Lepisosteus oculatus: one gene and its partner. The protein of the gene in region 2 interacts with the protein of the main gene of each other region in a pairwise test. Links are inferred from orthologs where the notes say so. Each region holds a gene or a part of one and is shown on either strand. Other genes may lie near its edges.

Region 1 (7,579 bases), on a different chromosome or scaffold from region 2:
AGCACTGTTCGCATCAGTTTAATTATTTGTTTCTTTGTCGCTCTGACAGGGTCGGCTAAACCAAAATCCAATCAATCCTGTTACCAGACCTTTATGGCAAAGGTTGCCAGGCATCCTCGCAATTTGTTTAGCTTGGAAAAATGCACTTGACTGCAACTTAATTTACCATGTGCAAATGTTCTTGACCGAAGGTTGACACGCACAGGTACCAGAAAAATATCCAAAAATAAAACCACAGTCATACTGGACCCTATTTGCTGTCATGGTTTCACTCTCTCTCCAAATCTGTCTAAACCAGTATATTTTATCAGTTCGTATGTGTGCTCATACAGCCAGTCACACCTGTCACCACTGTAGTAGGCCTACATATCATGCAGAACCTAACAGGCTGGATCTGTAGGCAGGCCTGAGATGCAGGCAGGAGAAACCTCATATGAGAGAAAACCTGAACAGAAATATGACAAAGGAAGCCAATCGATTTTCAAAACCTAGAGAAGACAAGGATGTTATTGGTTTCCAGTTTGGTTTTGATTAACTATGACATTTCTCAACTAGCTATAGATAACCAATTAGTCCCCACACCACACACAATCTTTATTATAAACAACATATAAAACAGTATTGTTAAAAGAATAAAATAACAAACAGGACATTATTATGATGATGTAAATACATACTTGTTTACTTAAAAGGCCAACTTCACTGGTGTAGAACGACACAGGAGGAAAATATCAGTATTTCAATTTACTTTTAAAGTGTCAGAGAACATCTGGTTGTTTTTATTTTGATTTCTTAGCAGAGGTGTTGTCTCAGATCAACACATTTTGGACAGCTATCATCTCCCCCCAATCCCATCCAATAATAAACATTACATTTCCCATTTGTTTCGCAGCTTCCACTAAAAAACACTAACACAAAGGCAATAGTAAAAGATGCAAAACTGTAGCCCACATTTAAACTTCCCAAACTGAGATTTTTTAAAAACCAATGCTTTATATTTAATGAGTAAGAATCATGAACACACACCTGATAAAGAGAAATCTACAAAGCAATCCTATCCTTCATTAACGCTCACTTATCTTGAACGTGATTTTATACATTACTGTAGAAAGATGCTAATTTTGTACCAACAAACACCTTTTACCAGTGATATAATCTTGTAGGTCCGTGCTCATCCCTGAAATGCATTTCCTGACTCACCCTACATCTTACTGTAACTAAGTATGCTTCAAACTTCAAACGCGCTCTTTTGCAAGAAAGCTAAATTATAGTGACACATTACTTGCAATATGTTAAAAACTACATCATGCATTCGAAGAAACATTCTGGGAAAACCGATTTAGACAGGGTGAATTTTGTTTATGGACAGTAAAGCAAAATGCTCTGTATGAGAAGCCCCGGACCACTATAATAATAATTGAAGCTTTCATATTTTACTTTTGGCTAATAAAATGAATTGACTACTCCACTGGGAGATAAAAATATAAATTCCTAGTTCAGTGATTGCCTTTGAAATCACAGTTACGTAAAACAATGTAGAGCATGTCACTGGACTAGTCGTGTTAGGAGAGATTATCTACTTCACAGGAAGAGCTGAGCTGTAAATAGGTGCCGAGTACTGTATTCCTGCAAGAAAATACTGTACAGCAACTAGACTCGCGCAGCCAACCTGACAAGTCCAATTGTTGAACGTTTTAAATAACACGGTAAACGACAATGCACGTTTTCCAAATAAAAAGAATCGGTCACCCCAAAGCACAGATTGAAGGATAAATTAAGGCTCATTTTAATAGAATATCAACAAGACAGCAAATCGACCAAAAACGAAAACGAAAACAGTAGCTAAGACTATCGCTACCTTGGGCAAAATGTAATTCAGATACCGAGCCTTCAGCTCGATAATTGTACTACAGATGTTTAATTTCCCGTTAACTTCATATTGCGTGCTTACTTTTACAAATGTACATCATAAAAGTAGCTTAATCTAGACATACTCTGTGGTTTTCATGAAGGATTCATTGCCTAAAATGTCCATATCGGAGAACCGTAAGCCGCACGTATTTTTGTAGCTGCAGTTCTCCTAGGCTTGGCTGCTAGGAATGGGCTAGACAATTTGGCTCACTGCTTGCACTAAGCCACTCTTTCAAGTATTAAATCGGGATGCGGCGTCAAGCGACCCCTGCTTCAGCGCAGAGGCTATTTCAGGCGCTTCTATCCTCTTACCTTTGAGCTGAGGCAGAGGCGAGAGCTCAATGAAGCTGCTCTGGGTTCGGAACTGGGACGATCCCTGCGATCGCTTCTGTTTCTGGGCTTTTCTCATCGATTTCCTAGTGAACCCATCTACTTTCTCCGCCGCAGAGATAGCCGACATGTTGATGCTGTTGCAGTTGCGCTCAATATTGTATCCACTTCAAGGTTACCACTTCAACAGTCTTCCGCTCGATGAGGGAGCACAAAACTTAAAAGTCCGCTCCGATGTTGAAGAGAGAAGAATACTTCCTAAAATGAAATATTAAAACCATCCGTTGCTTAATCCTTGACCGGAATGTCCCATTAAGAACATCTTATTTAATAACGTAATTTTATAAACGCAGGGTTAGCTTTCCACGGCAAGAAAACGCACCAAACTCTTGACAGAACCGGATAATTAAACCTTATCAGTCCAGGTTTATATCAGTGACCTTTCCTTCTTTGAATCATAAAATGTACACAGCAAGTCCAAACCCCGGAGCATTATTCGCGTTAAATGGACAATCTACAGGTCGCTGAAGTTCAGCTTTAAAATTAATAAATTGATGGTAAATAAGTTTAAGAAAAAAATAAACCAGTTCGTTTAAAACTGTGAATGGCAACCGCAAAAATGAAAAAAATAAACTTTAAGATGATCGGTGAAGTCAAAAAGACAATGTTCTCCTCCTGTAGAAATGCATCCAGTTTTTCTCTATAAAAATGCCGAGTGGGTCTGTTCTGCTCGCCGACTCGCAGCTGTTTGTTGGCACTGACGCGCTGCAGGAAGGCAGCCGGGCGGACTCCAGCTATCTCAGCAGCCGCGGCTCCAGCCCCACCATTCTCGCACAGACAGGCGTCCGTCTCTGCAGCAACACCTACAAAGGCACGGGCGCTTTCATAGAAACTTTCTGTTCGGCTTTATTGTTACGAGACTTCCTGCTTCCTTTCAACCCTTACTGCAAACAAAATAAAATTTCATAACTATAAAATGCTACAATGTACCCAGTCTGTATCCCCCCCCCCAACTCGCGCAACCATAAACAGGGTCCAGCCAATAGCAGCATATCAGCTTCTTTCGTCACACGAGTCGTAGATGACAGACTGGCATTCTCTCCAATGAAAAGTGGTAGACGAAGAAACCCCTCCTCCCTCCTCATATTCATCCAATGAGATTCATCAGGAAACTGGTTTCCTAGACAGACTTGGACAGGGAGGGCGGGCTTTGAGCGATGATGACCCTGCCAATGAAAAGTTACAGCAGTGGCTGCCTGGCCAATAGACGAGCAAAACATACTTGGGCTCTGAAGGCTGTGATCAGTCTTTTGACAGACGTACAGTTAATCCAGTCATAAGTAACAAACTTCTGATAGGCGGGGAATCTTTTAAATTCACAGGATTGGAAGTTAAAATGGTTGATGCGAGTGTGGTTTGCGTTGTTCATAAAGCTGAGTTGTGGAAATGTTGCTTGAGGTATTAACTCAGTTTTATTTTTTTCCATGAAAATCGCACTTAAAATACTGGTGATTTTTAATTCTCTACCATTTTTTGAAAGAAGACATTTTTGTGATTGAATAAAAATCTCACTTTATAGCAGGAGTTTAAAAAAGTGATTTAGCTATGTGTGTCTCCAAGTATGTTCATATAATTAATTATATAATTATAATTACGTGTATAATTAAGTATAATTATAAACTGTGTACTGTAATAAAAAAAGTCACCCTGGACTCTTGAGTAGGACAAAATGCACAGGTGTGTCTGTGAAATAGTAACTCTGTTAGGATACCCAGGCAAGTAGTCTCACTTTATTCACTTGGCATGAAATATTCCCTTTTTCTCCATTTTCTATTTAGACGGAATACATCTTGCATACACTGCCCACAACTGTAAAAGAACTGCAGAGTATTCCTGGGTTAGCTAGTTGGGCCTTTGATAAACTAAGGAGGTACTAACATGTTCCCCCAAAACAGAAATGACTTTGTTACTGATGCCAGTGACATGAGTATTCTTGCTGCTGTTTCCTAGACGACCCTCACACACTGCAAGGCAGCACATGTTTAAATGAGGAGGAGTCTGGTTGTCAGATAGCATGATCCTAATGACCAACTGCTGATTCTTCTTATGCAGTTATTGCTGTGATGCCTGTCACACCATAATCAAACAATCTGTTTCCCTCTCTCTGCCTTGACTATTTTTTTAGTTTGAATAACTGCCAGGTTTTCTGTGTGTGTGTGGTGTGTTGCATAGGTTCCACTGACTTTAATTTCCTTGCGGTTTTCTTCACAGATTATCCTCTTTCATAAAAGGTAATTATCTTCAAGCAACCAGTACACTTCATTTCCTTCTGCAGAGAATAATATAATAAAGTCATTGGTGAGGAGGTTGCACAGTTATATTTTCAAGGATATTATATCTAAGGATGGCTTTGCATCTGTGTTAGTTAATGAAGGTATACCTGTGATATTTATTAGCTCTGAGAACGTCTGTTTAAAGCAGCAATCAGTAATTTATTTTATCAAATATAGCTTCAATGCATCATAAATTAGGATGTTTCTCTATCTGGGCAGAGGAAATTGCCCTTTGTACTATTAAGAAATAAAACGTGCTACCAAGCAATTATATGATTGTTTACTTTAATGCACAGCTATGGTTCTGTTCTTTACTGCTATTGTAATGACAGGATATTGTACACCTGTCCCAATAATCAGATGAGCATTTTTGCATTTTAGACCTTTAATTAATGTGATGATTTGCACAGCTAATATTTTAACAATTTCTCACTCCTATAACTATGTAGCAGAGTACTTAAAAGAAAGTTTTTCTCAAATATAAGAACAATAAAAGTATATAATTACTAGTTCAATATGAGTGACTCCTTCTCTGTCCATTAAAGGTGTATAATGCACTAGCAAGGTCTTATTTATTCATTTTGTGTACATTTTTGGTCGCCACGTTGCAGAAAAAAAAATATTGCTGCTCTGGAATCTGTCCAGAGAGGTGGAACAAAAATACAATCTGGGTTTTATTGGAATGTCCTACACTCCCAGGCTGAAGGAACTGAACCTTTTCAGTCTTGAACAGAGAAGACTACAATGGGATTAGATATAAGTATTCAAAATTTCAAAGGCATTGACAAAGGCAACCCAACAACTTCATCCAAATAAGCAATGCAGCACGAACCAGAGGGCACAAGTAGAAACTAAACAGAAGTGGCCTCCATTAATTTCTATTATTTCTTATGATTTTATAGTATGTTCCTACAGCCCATCCAAAATGGGAGCCTTAGTGTTCCAGAGGTCCAGGCCTGCAAGTATGACTGCCATAGTATTATTAAACTAGAAATATTAAATGGGCAATGGTTACTGCTGCTTCTAAAAATAAATAATCTGTACTTTCTTTAATTTTCCTGTGATTTTCTTTCACCTGCTTGATGTTCTCACAAGGTCTGTATCTGCTGCTGAACAATTCCCTGGCAATTCCTTCCCGAATAAAGCTTCCCCAGCAGCTCATCAAGGCATTCCTGACTATCTCATTAAGCAGCTTGGCCTCTGGTCATCAGAAGCCTACCTCGCTTACATAAGATTCAATACAAATACCCTTAAACCAGCTCTTCTCCATCTTTCTAACTTCCAGTACAACCTACAGTTCAAACCATACAGTACGTCACAGAACACTTCTCTCACATTTTACTCTCCCCCTGATTCTGAAATGGACCAAACCACATTTTATTTTGACAACAACACTCCATAAACTGTTCAATGCACCTAATTCCCAGGTGTTGTTATTCATAGTGAAATGAAGTTTGGAAGGGATAAAAAACAGTTAGGTTCAATCGGTCTCAGCAGTCAATAATTTGTAATCAATCTTGATTACAAATTGTTGACAGCTGAAACCGATATTAAAGTCATTTTCTCACTTTAACATTAGAAATACTATACATAATGGCCTTCTCTCCCTCACTTACATAATTTTCCATCCCACCCCCACCCCATCTCCACCTCTGCAGCTGCCTCTTGGTCTCCCTCACTCCACATAGGGGTCTCAACCTCCTTGTCCTCTGGCCAGGAGGTCTGTCCTCAGCCTAGCGGCTTTCGGCAAATTTTTGTTGTATTTAAAACACTCCATAAACTTTGCTCAATTCTTGGATGTTGTTATTCCTAGTGAAATTATATTTGAAGATGTTCCCTTAAGCAGCTGCATCAGCATGCGCAGGCTGCAAAGGATAGGTAAAGGTTAAACTAATTTCATAACAAGTAAAGGTTTATTCCATGCTGAAAGGTAAAGAAAAGAAACACAACATTTCAAATGCGGAGCCTTCTTCAAATGTGTAGAGGTGTTCTCTTCTTCACCTTTCAGCAAGTAATAAACCTTTACTTGTTATGAAATTATACTTGGGCACTTTTGTCAGTTGTGACTTTGTATTTGCATTTACAGGGCTAGAGACGTCACTGGACACGTAAGATGGTCAATCTGTTTTGCTTATGGAAATGAAATAGAATCCATGGAAGAATGTGTGTTAGAGTCCTGTAAAGAGAAAGTGAAGAGATGTTAGTGTGGTTTGTCTTTGGATAGCAAATAAAACATTAAAGTCCATAATCTAGTTTATTACTTAAACAATATAAAACAAAATGAACTAGGTTCCAGAAATAACCTCATACATTCCCAGATAGCATACCATATTAACAGGTAACTGACATCAGTGGAATACCTGAAACATAGACAAGGGTTTTTAATTAATAGGTATATTTGTTTAGGAAGACAAGTTGGATTAAAGGGGGGATCTGGTGGGACAATATGTCAGAAATAACCTACAACCTACTAGACAACTCAAAAAGAGGATACAGGCAGTTTAGAATATGTACGAGGTAAACTGGAAAATATATATTTTAAGTGTTTAACAGTAAGTATATGTTTTAGACTTTCTAATGCACATTTTCTTCTGTATAATGAGATATGGAATGTAAGAAGCCAAGGTAACATAACATTATGAGGGGACTTCAATTTTCCACACAGAAACTGGAATGTTGCAATAGCAAATACAGAATCTGAAATTGATTCAGTTGGTTCTTAACCTAGTTTGTAAAGGCACCCATTAGGATAGGTGCTCTTATTGGGCTAGTCTTTTGAAACAACCAGGATAAAGGAACAGATGCAGCAGAACAACTGGGCAATTTGTGACCATGATATGGGAACCATTGGCATACTTTAAATCTCTTAAGGCGGTGTCTAAAATTAGGTTTTATAAATTTAGAAAAGCAGACTGTGAAGAGACAAGGCGGGGTTCACAGAGAGGGAACTGGAAATAAGTGAATTCAGATTCACAGAAGGATTGTTATAATATTAAAGGGTCAAA
Region 2 (7,789 bases):
GCAATAAGAAAAAGCAGTGTGTATACCCTGGAGGGGATGCCAGTCCATCACAGGGCACATCATGAGGGAACAGACACAAACACACACACTCTCATACCAATTTTCCTAAAAGTAGTCTACCAGCATTTGTTGTGGAAAAAAACTCTCACACACACAGGGAGTACATACAACCAACACAGATCACACACAGGGTCTGGAATTGAACCAAGAGCCCCAGTGCTGAAAGGCAGCAATGCTAATCACTATACCACTATGACTCCCACACCTCTGTTTTTTGTTCCACTTAATCACCACAAGAGCAATTCTGCCCAAACTATCACACTTGGTCTGGCTCAAATGGTCTGCTGTACACACCAATTATTGTATTGCTCTACATGTCTGGATTACTCATAAAATGACATTTTATGAGAGGTCCACACAAAACATAAATTAAAAATGCATTAGTTGCATTCCTGGTGAGTCTATTTTATTCTATTGCATTGATCAACACTGGGCTCACTTGTTGCTTTGCTTGTCTGTTCTTTAAATGATGACTGTTTAGCTCCCTAACTTTAGACACATGGGGTTGTTGTGACCAGTTCCTTCTGTTGTAGTGGCTGCGTGAAAGAAATCGTAAAGAATAAACATGATGAAATGTCAATCCTGGTGCAGAATTGTGACTCTGAGATCAGGGTCAGTCATTAGCAGGCTGAAATTGGCTGCACAATCTTGCCAGATTAGACATTGCTATAAGCTGTAAACACCCCAGATGGTGCCTGACAGTGCCTTGACTTAGTCCAGCCTGCAACATACCGATGGCACAAAGCCATTCTTCTCTTGATAAGCAGGACATATTGGATCCTTTCTGTGCTTGTACTACTTGATTACTACAACTGGCTCGGCAGTCTATGGGATAAATCAGTTCAAGTAAGTAGCCGTGTCAGTATGCGTAGGCTCCAAAAGAACAAGTTAAAGGTTTATTCCATGCTGAAAAGAGAAGAATAAACTTGAAGTCACTTGAATGTAACAGTCATGAATCTTCAAATAATAAAAATTACCCCAAAACATTTTATCAATATTAACAAGTCATATTATTTATCTAATAGCTTGCATGCATAGACAGAGTGTAGAGTTTTGAAACACTTTCATTTCTCTTATGAATGCTTTCTCCATGCCAATTTCTAATCAGTGTCTGAACTAAGTTGCAATACAAATACAATTGTATTTTCTTTAATTAATACAGAAGAACAAATAATAATAATTGCTTATACTTGTATAAGCGCTTTTCTGGACACTCCACTCAAAGCGCTTTACAGGTAATGGGGACACCGTCCACCACCACCAATGTGCAGCATCCACCTGTATCATGCGACAGCAACCAGAGTGCACAAGAACGCTCACCACACATCAGCTATTAATGGGGAGGAGAACAGAGTGATGAAGCCAATTCATAGATGGGGATTATTAGGAGGCCAAGATTGGTAAAAGCCAATAAGATATTTGGCCAGGATGCCAGGGTTACACTCCTACTATTTTTGAGAAAGGCCCTGGGATTTTTAACACCCGCTATGAGTCAGGACCTCGGTTTTACAGTATGTCTCATCCAAAAGACGGCGCCTTTTTACAGTATAGTGTCCCTGTCTCTATACTGGGGCATTAGGACCCACACAGACCACAGGGTGAGCGCCCCCTCCTGGCCGCACTAACACCTTTTCCAACAAGCAACCCTGGTTTTTCCCAGGAGATATCCCATCCAGGTACTGATCATGACACTAATTTTGTGGAATCTATTGGAGCCACGTTTTTTATTATTGAGTGATTTCAACCACTAGTTTAACTGTTTTCTTAAGTTACAGAATTAGCATTAGATCATTTAGATTATTTTTCCATTGACCTTCTTACCTGAGTCAACCCTACCCCCACCTCTACCATCCTGATTGCGTTGCAAATGTAGTTTTTCTTATCCTTCAGTCTTTTTGTAGATATAAGATTATTTTACGCTGTTGGAACTGCTACCCTAGAAGAAGCAGCGTCAGTTCTAATGGGAACATTACACAAACGCACACAGTAATACTTAGAAACTAAAAATGAATACAAGGTAGGTTACATTGGTTTACTTTTTTTTTTGTAAAACACCAGTCTCGTTTTCTCAAAAATAAGAAGCTATGGGTGCACTATACGTTTTCAGAGCCTTATATCGGATCTGGATAGTGCAATTGACCAATAAAGGACTCAGAGATCAATGTTTATAATGCAATTATAATTTATTCTGATTCTGAGCAAGATGTTGATATTCAGTAATTGCATTATAAACTATGTACTGAATTTGATTGGTCTGTTGCATTTAGCAAAGAAAGCAAACACACACGAGAATAATAAAGGCGCCTTACCTAAAAACTAATTAAATAACACAAAAAGTTATATAAGTAACAATTTCCAAAGAAATTCGAATTCTTTGCTATACGAAGCACGCAAAAGTTCTCACTGTTTCAGCTCATATTATTTGTAGGAAGGGAGTTTGAAAGAAGAAATAGCTTAAGTATGCAGACTTCCACACGGATTTAAATTTGTGACAAAAGGGTTTTTGAAGCCCCTCATCAACAGGCTCTGCTCTCAAACCCAGCAATGAATTTCTACTAATCCTCCGGAAGCTCGGAACATATGGCTTCATTCTCCACCTCCGTTTTGCATACTGTGTGAGGTAATGTGAGCCTCATCTGTCCCCCCTAAATCTCCCTGCACCGCTCGTTCAGACTTTCCCTTCCCCCTCCAGCCTCTCTGCGCGCTGGGAGAGACGGTGATGAAGAGGTTTTGGAATGTGCGCGTCACCGCGCCACCAGGCTGCTTTCGAGTTCCAAGAAACTTCCCCGCTGAAGAGTTTTCATTTGGGACGGAGAAACAAAAAATAAACTGATCTCCGAGGTGGGGTGAGTATTTCATTCTGTACGTAATTGCACTTTTACTAACCAACCATTTCCTGTTTGTTTTCCCCCCAAATTGACTTGTCCGCAACACTCCCGTTACTTTTCAAGTTATCTTGGTATCCTGCTGTAGCTTCTTGTAGTTCAAAGGTTTAAGATCTTTTGCACACAGAGTTAGCAAGGCAAGCTTTTACATCTTTGGGTTTTTTGTTTCTATGTAGAAAACGAGTCAGTTCTTGGCGTTGCTGCTTGTTTTGCCTGAGCCTGCCTGTCCAGACTTGAGTTTTTGGAAATGAGCTGTTGTCTTGAGGAGTGCGCTTTGTTGTTTTGCCGGCAGATGGCTTGGACCGCGAGAAAGGCCGAGTCTGATGAGTGGCTACTTGCTTGGTGATGTGTGAACCAGCAAACTGTCACGCACACGCAAATCGTGCGTTGTTGTTATTAAATAAAATCATGAGATGCTTGAAAGATGTCCTTAACTCGAAGAAAGTGCGCGACGGAATGAGAGATTGTAGATAAAGTTTTGTATAAATAACAGGGACATCACATCATAAACTCAAATCTGAGCAGATGCCAGGTTTAAGAAATCTGAGATCTTACCCACAGGGCGTGGAATCGCTCGAGATGACTAAACCAGTTATTAGCACTATATGTCCATAATTATTTTCTCTAAAACCCGATCACAATTTTGGCTCTGAAAATCTTTAGTACATTTAAAATAAATGCGACACAAATGTGCCGTTAATTTTAATCGGAAAAGGGGTTGTTTCTGTACTGTAATTACAGTAGTTGATGATAACATTGACTCTGGTTTGATAGAATGTGTGTTTTCATAGTTGATGTAAACGAGGATTTCAAAGAATAGCAACTAGAATATAAACCCAGTACCGAAGTGTACCAAAACACTTAGAAATCAAGCGTTTTTAGTCTTCACATAAAATAAACCATTGAAAATCTGCCAGGATAGATTTACACGTATTTAAATTTGATTCGTTAATTAGAAGAAAATATGAGAAGACCCATTTTGATGCAAGAAATTTCCCGTGATTGAAAACATGAAAAAAGTTCACGAAACTGGAGCATTGATGTTTTTGCACCAAAAAACAGTATTTTTTCTTAGCTTATATCAGAAGCATATATTGTAATCTTTATACAAAATATCTTTAGTTTATAATTCTAGATGCATTAGAAATGTAACTCCAGTTACCAAGTATGGATGAAATAAGTCTTTTCTTTGTGCTTTTGCAAAATCTAATAACTTAATTTCATTCTTAATGCGACAATAACTTTTTTTTTTAAATGAAGCTATAAATTCGATTAAACAGTGTCCAAAGCAACGCAGATTTGCTCTAGCCAAAAGTGCCTACTGAACAGTAAAAACAGTATCCTGTAACTCAATTGTAAAACAGGTAGTAACCATTACGTGAGTTATGGAATAAAGGACGCTATTAACGATGATATGCTTCATTTCATCTACATAATTTCTGTATGCCATTTATTAAATTGTAAAACGTTCGTTATTGTGTTAGTAACTGCATGACTGATGTTTACGACATTTAAAACGTCGTCTTTTTCTATCAATTTTTAAGGCTTGTTGTCTGCCTGCCTGTTGCAGCATCCCGGAGCTCTTGAGCGGTGTGGTGCCAGGCACACAGTGATGCTAATTCTGGTTACCTAGGAGACTGCAAAGACGCCCTGATCCCTGTCACTGCACAAAGACGAAGGGGGAGGCACCATACCGCTGAATCGTTCTCTTCTCAAGCAAAGAGCCGCAAGTCAGGGATGGTAAGGAGAAATGCAGGGAGGATTTCACAGCTCCGCAGAACCACCGTGCCTGCGACAGTTCGATTTTGTGTTGTTTTTTAATCAGGCATTCCACACTTCTTCTTTCTTGATTTTTGAACAATAACAGTATTCTGCGACTTGTTAGTTCCCAGAAACGAGGTATTTGCTAAATATGAGCTATCGTTATTGATGTAGTAATTTGTTTGCATTGATTTCTGGGTAAGGCTTAGTCGGAGTGGTTGTTGGGTTTGGTTTTATTTTATCATAAACCACTGATCACATTTCTGCTGTGCTTGGATATTTAAGTGGAAATATATATTTTTTCATTGCAGCCATTTTACAACAATATATACTATCCTTATCCGTCTGAAACCCCAGGGACCTGTTCATCTGCCGGAATCCCATCCATTTTGAACTCTCCTCAAAGCCAGCGCTCTTCCAGCATCCCCCAGCAGTCCTCTGTGATCTCTGGACCATCAATGACAGGGGCTCACATCCCATCTTTCAAGTTCCGAGCTCGCCGAGAGAGCGTGGACTGGCGCAGGATAAGTGCCATCGATGTTGACCGCGTGGCCAGCGACCTGGACTTCAATACCCTGCAGGAGAATATCATGGGCATCACATTCTGTACCGTGGAGAACGAGCGCTGCCCTTACTGCCAGAACCCAGTGGACCCGGTTCTGTTGAAGGTCTTCAGGTTAGCCCAGCTCACGGTCGAATACCTGCTACACTCTCAGGAATACCTCACCAGCAGCCTGCAGTCCGTGGAGGAGAAGCTGCAGGCCTCCATTCTGGAGAAAGAACAGATCAAAAGGGAAACAATGAAGCAAAATGAGGAGATCAAATTACTTAAGGAGGAGCTAAAGAGGAGGAAGAAGATCATTACTACCCAGCAATCAATGATCAGTGCTGGTGTGGGTAATTATCATAAGGTATGTGCCAACAAGATGATTTTCCATGTGGTTCATTGTTTTCATCCATTGTTCATGGTGTCAAATGCAGATCAGACTTTTAGTAATGCTGCGCTTTGTCGTGGTGAGTGGATGAGCTCGGGTGCACACTTAGCTGTAAAAAGTAGTGAAATACTTCATTGTCCACTATTTGGAAGAGCTCTACTGTCAGAATTGTCTCATTCAAACCACACTTTCCTTTGATATTGGTTCATATACAGACTTAAAAAAATCTAACAAAATAATCTTAAAGTAATAGTAAACATTTCTGTTTTCAAAAATGCAGATTTCAGACCTCATTAAAAACAACAGAACAGATGGTGTCTGCGGGTGGCATTTTGTTCTCTAATCCATATAACAGATAAACAGCATAGTTACACAGATAGCTGGAAACCCATTTTCTTAATGTGGCTTCAGTTCAGAATGTCATTGCATAGTTTGGAGTAGGGCAGAAGGTGTTTGTCAGGAAAGGTACTGTACCACAACATTTAACATTATTTCTAGTACAGTGCCTGAAAGAACTCAATTGTGTAATTTCCTATATAGGCCTGGATATTCTGGTATGTTATTTGTTTAAGTGAAATCAAAGGAAGGACAGTATGGGAAATAAAGGGCTGTTCATTTTGCATTTACAAGAACTACATGAAAAAAGGTCTCCTAGGTAACAGCTAGGCCTTCACACAAAGTTGCTAAGTGAAACTCAAACAGTATGGCTTGTCTGATTAAGGTGTAAGTGCAGCTCAATAAATAATGAGATTTGTAATGAGAACCTCTAACAGCACAAGATGCTCACCATGACTAACTGCTCATTTTACAAGTCAAGGGAAACATATGGAGTGTATTTTGATTATTATTATTAGTTTAATGTTTTAGTTTCTGCAATTGCTATTAATAAGCTTACTGTGTCCTATCTTTAGTGGTTTTCTACATTCTCAAAACAGTGTGATTTTAATTTTTCTGATAGTTTTTATGTCAATTTAGTCTTTGACTAACAGTTAGCATTGTACTGAGGAAGAACACTAACATTCCTTGATTTCTGGTCAGAAAAATCCATCTCCTCACAGAATCCTGAATAATGATTATAACTTTTATTTGACAAAAGTTGAAGCAAAAATGTGAAGTCTGGGTTAATTATTTTGATATGAAGTTTCATAATGTATTAAGTTGAGTGGAGTACAAAATGCCATTTACAAATGTAAAGGTTACATTCACAGCTCAGATTCATATCTGTTTTATAACACGTAACATTATTTCGGGGTGGCATAGTGGAACAGTGGTTTACAGAGCTTTACAGCACTGGGGCTTGGGTTTAATTCTTAGCGTGCTATCAGTGTGGAGTTTCTATGTTCTACCCGTGTTCTTGTGAGTTTCCTCCGGTTCCCCCGTTTTACCTGTACTGTCCAAAAACACTGGTAGGTTAATTAGCTTCTGGAAAAATTTGTATAAGTGTGTGTGTGTTTGTGTCTGTTTGTGCCCTGCAATGGACTAGCATCGCATGCAGTGTGTATCTTGCCTTGCATCCATTGCTTGCCAAGTTAGGCCCCAGCTCCCCCGAAATTTTTTATTAGGTAAAGCGGCTAGAAGATGGGTGGAAACATTTATAGTAAAATGTTTTTAAGATTTTAAGATTTAAGATCAGATGTGAATATGAAGTACACAACTTAATTTCCACATCACTTTCACCAGGCCTCTCCTTTTATGGAATAAGTAATAGGTTTATTCCATGCTGAAAAAAAGAAGAAAGAGAACACAACGTTTCGGCCGTGGAGCCTTCTTCAGGTGTCATTTTATGTCTGTGCTGTGTGGATTGAATAACAAAACTATTGTATGGAGAGCAGTAGTGTTGGTAGAACTGACAGAAAATGCTTCAAAATATATTTTTAGAGATTTGTCTACCGTTTTTGTAGAGATTCATTTTTCTCTTCACCAAAACAATACTGGATAGCAGGTGTCAGTATCAGATCTTTTAATATTAAATGAAGACTTGAGGGCAGCTGGTTAAGATTGCATAGTAAGTGTGCTGTGCGAGTTCTAGAACCAGCTTTTACACTGCCTTGTCACATCAATCTGGCTGACTAAACTGATGAGCAGCAGAGGGTTTAAAGCACTTCAGAAGAATAGACTTTCCATGAAACCCATACTATAGCCCAAGGG

Evidence for each region.
Region 1: the proteins of dzip1 (region 2) and ppp2r5a interact in binary tests that used the Homo sapiens proteins (3 or more experiments, as listed by UniProt). The link is inferred for Lepisosteus oculatus from reciprocal best matches to the Homo sapiens genes DZIP1 and PPP2R5A.

The regions. Positions count from the first base shown.
Region 1 is NC_090697.1:46,063,836-46,071,414, forward strand, and holds the start of ppp2r5a (serine/threonine-protein phosphatase 2A 56 kDa regulatory subunit alpha isoform), read right to left. Parts: upstream 3,272-7,579; 5' UTR 2,372-3,271; coding exon 2,224-2,371; intron 1-2,223. UniProt on the Homo sapiens protein: The B regulatory subunit might modulate substrate selectivity and catalytic activity, and might also direct the localization of the catalytic enzyme to a particular subcellular compartment.
Region 2 is NC_090710.1:7,094,635-7,102,423, forward strand, and holds the start of dzip1 (cilium assembly protein DZIP1), read left to right. Parts: upstream 1-4,600; 5' UTR 4,601-4,682; coding exon 4,683-4,685; intron 4,686-4,766; exon of another isoform or gene 4,767-4,844; intron 4,845-5,017; coding exon 5,018-5,617; intron 5,618-7,789. UniProt on the Homo sapiens protein: Molecular adapter that recruits protein complexes required for cilium assembly and function to the cilium basal body.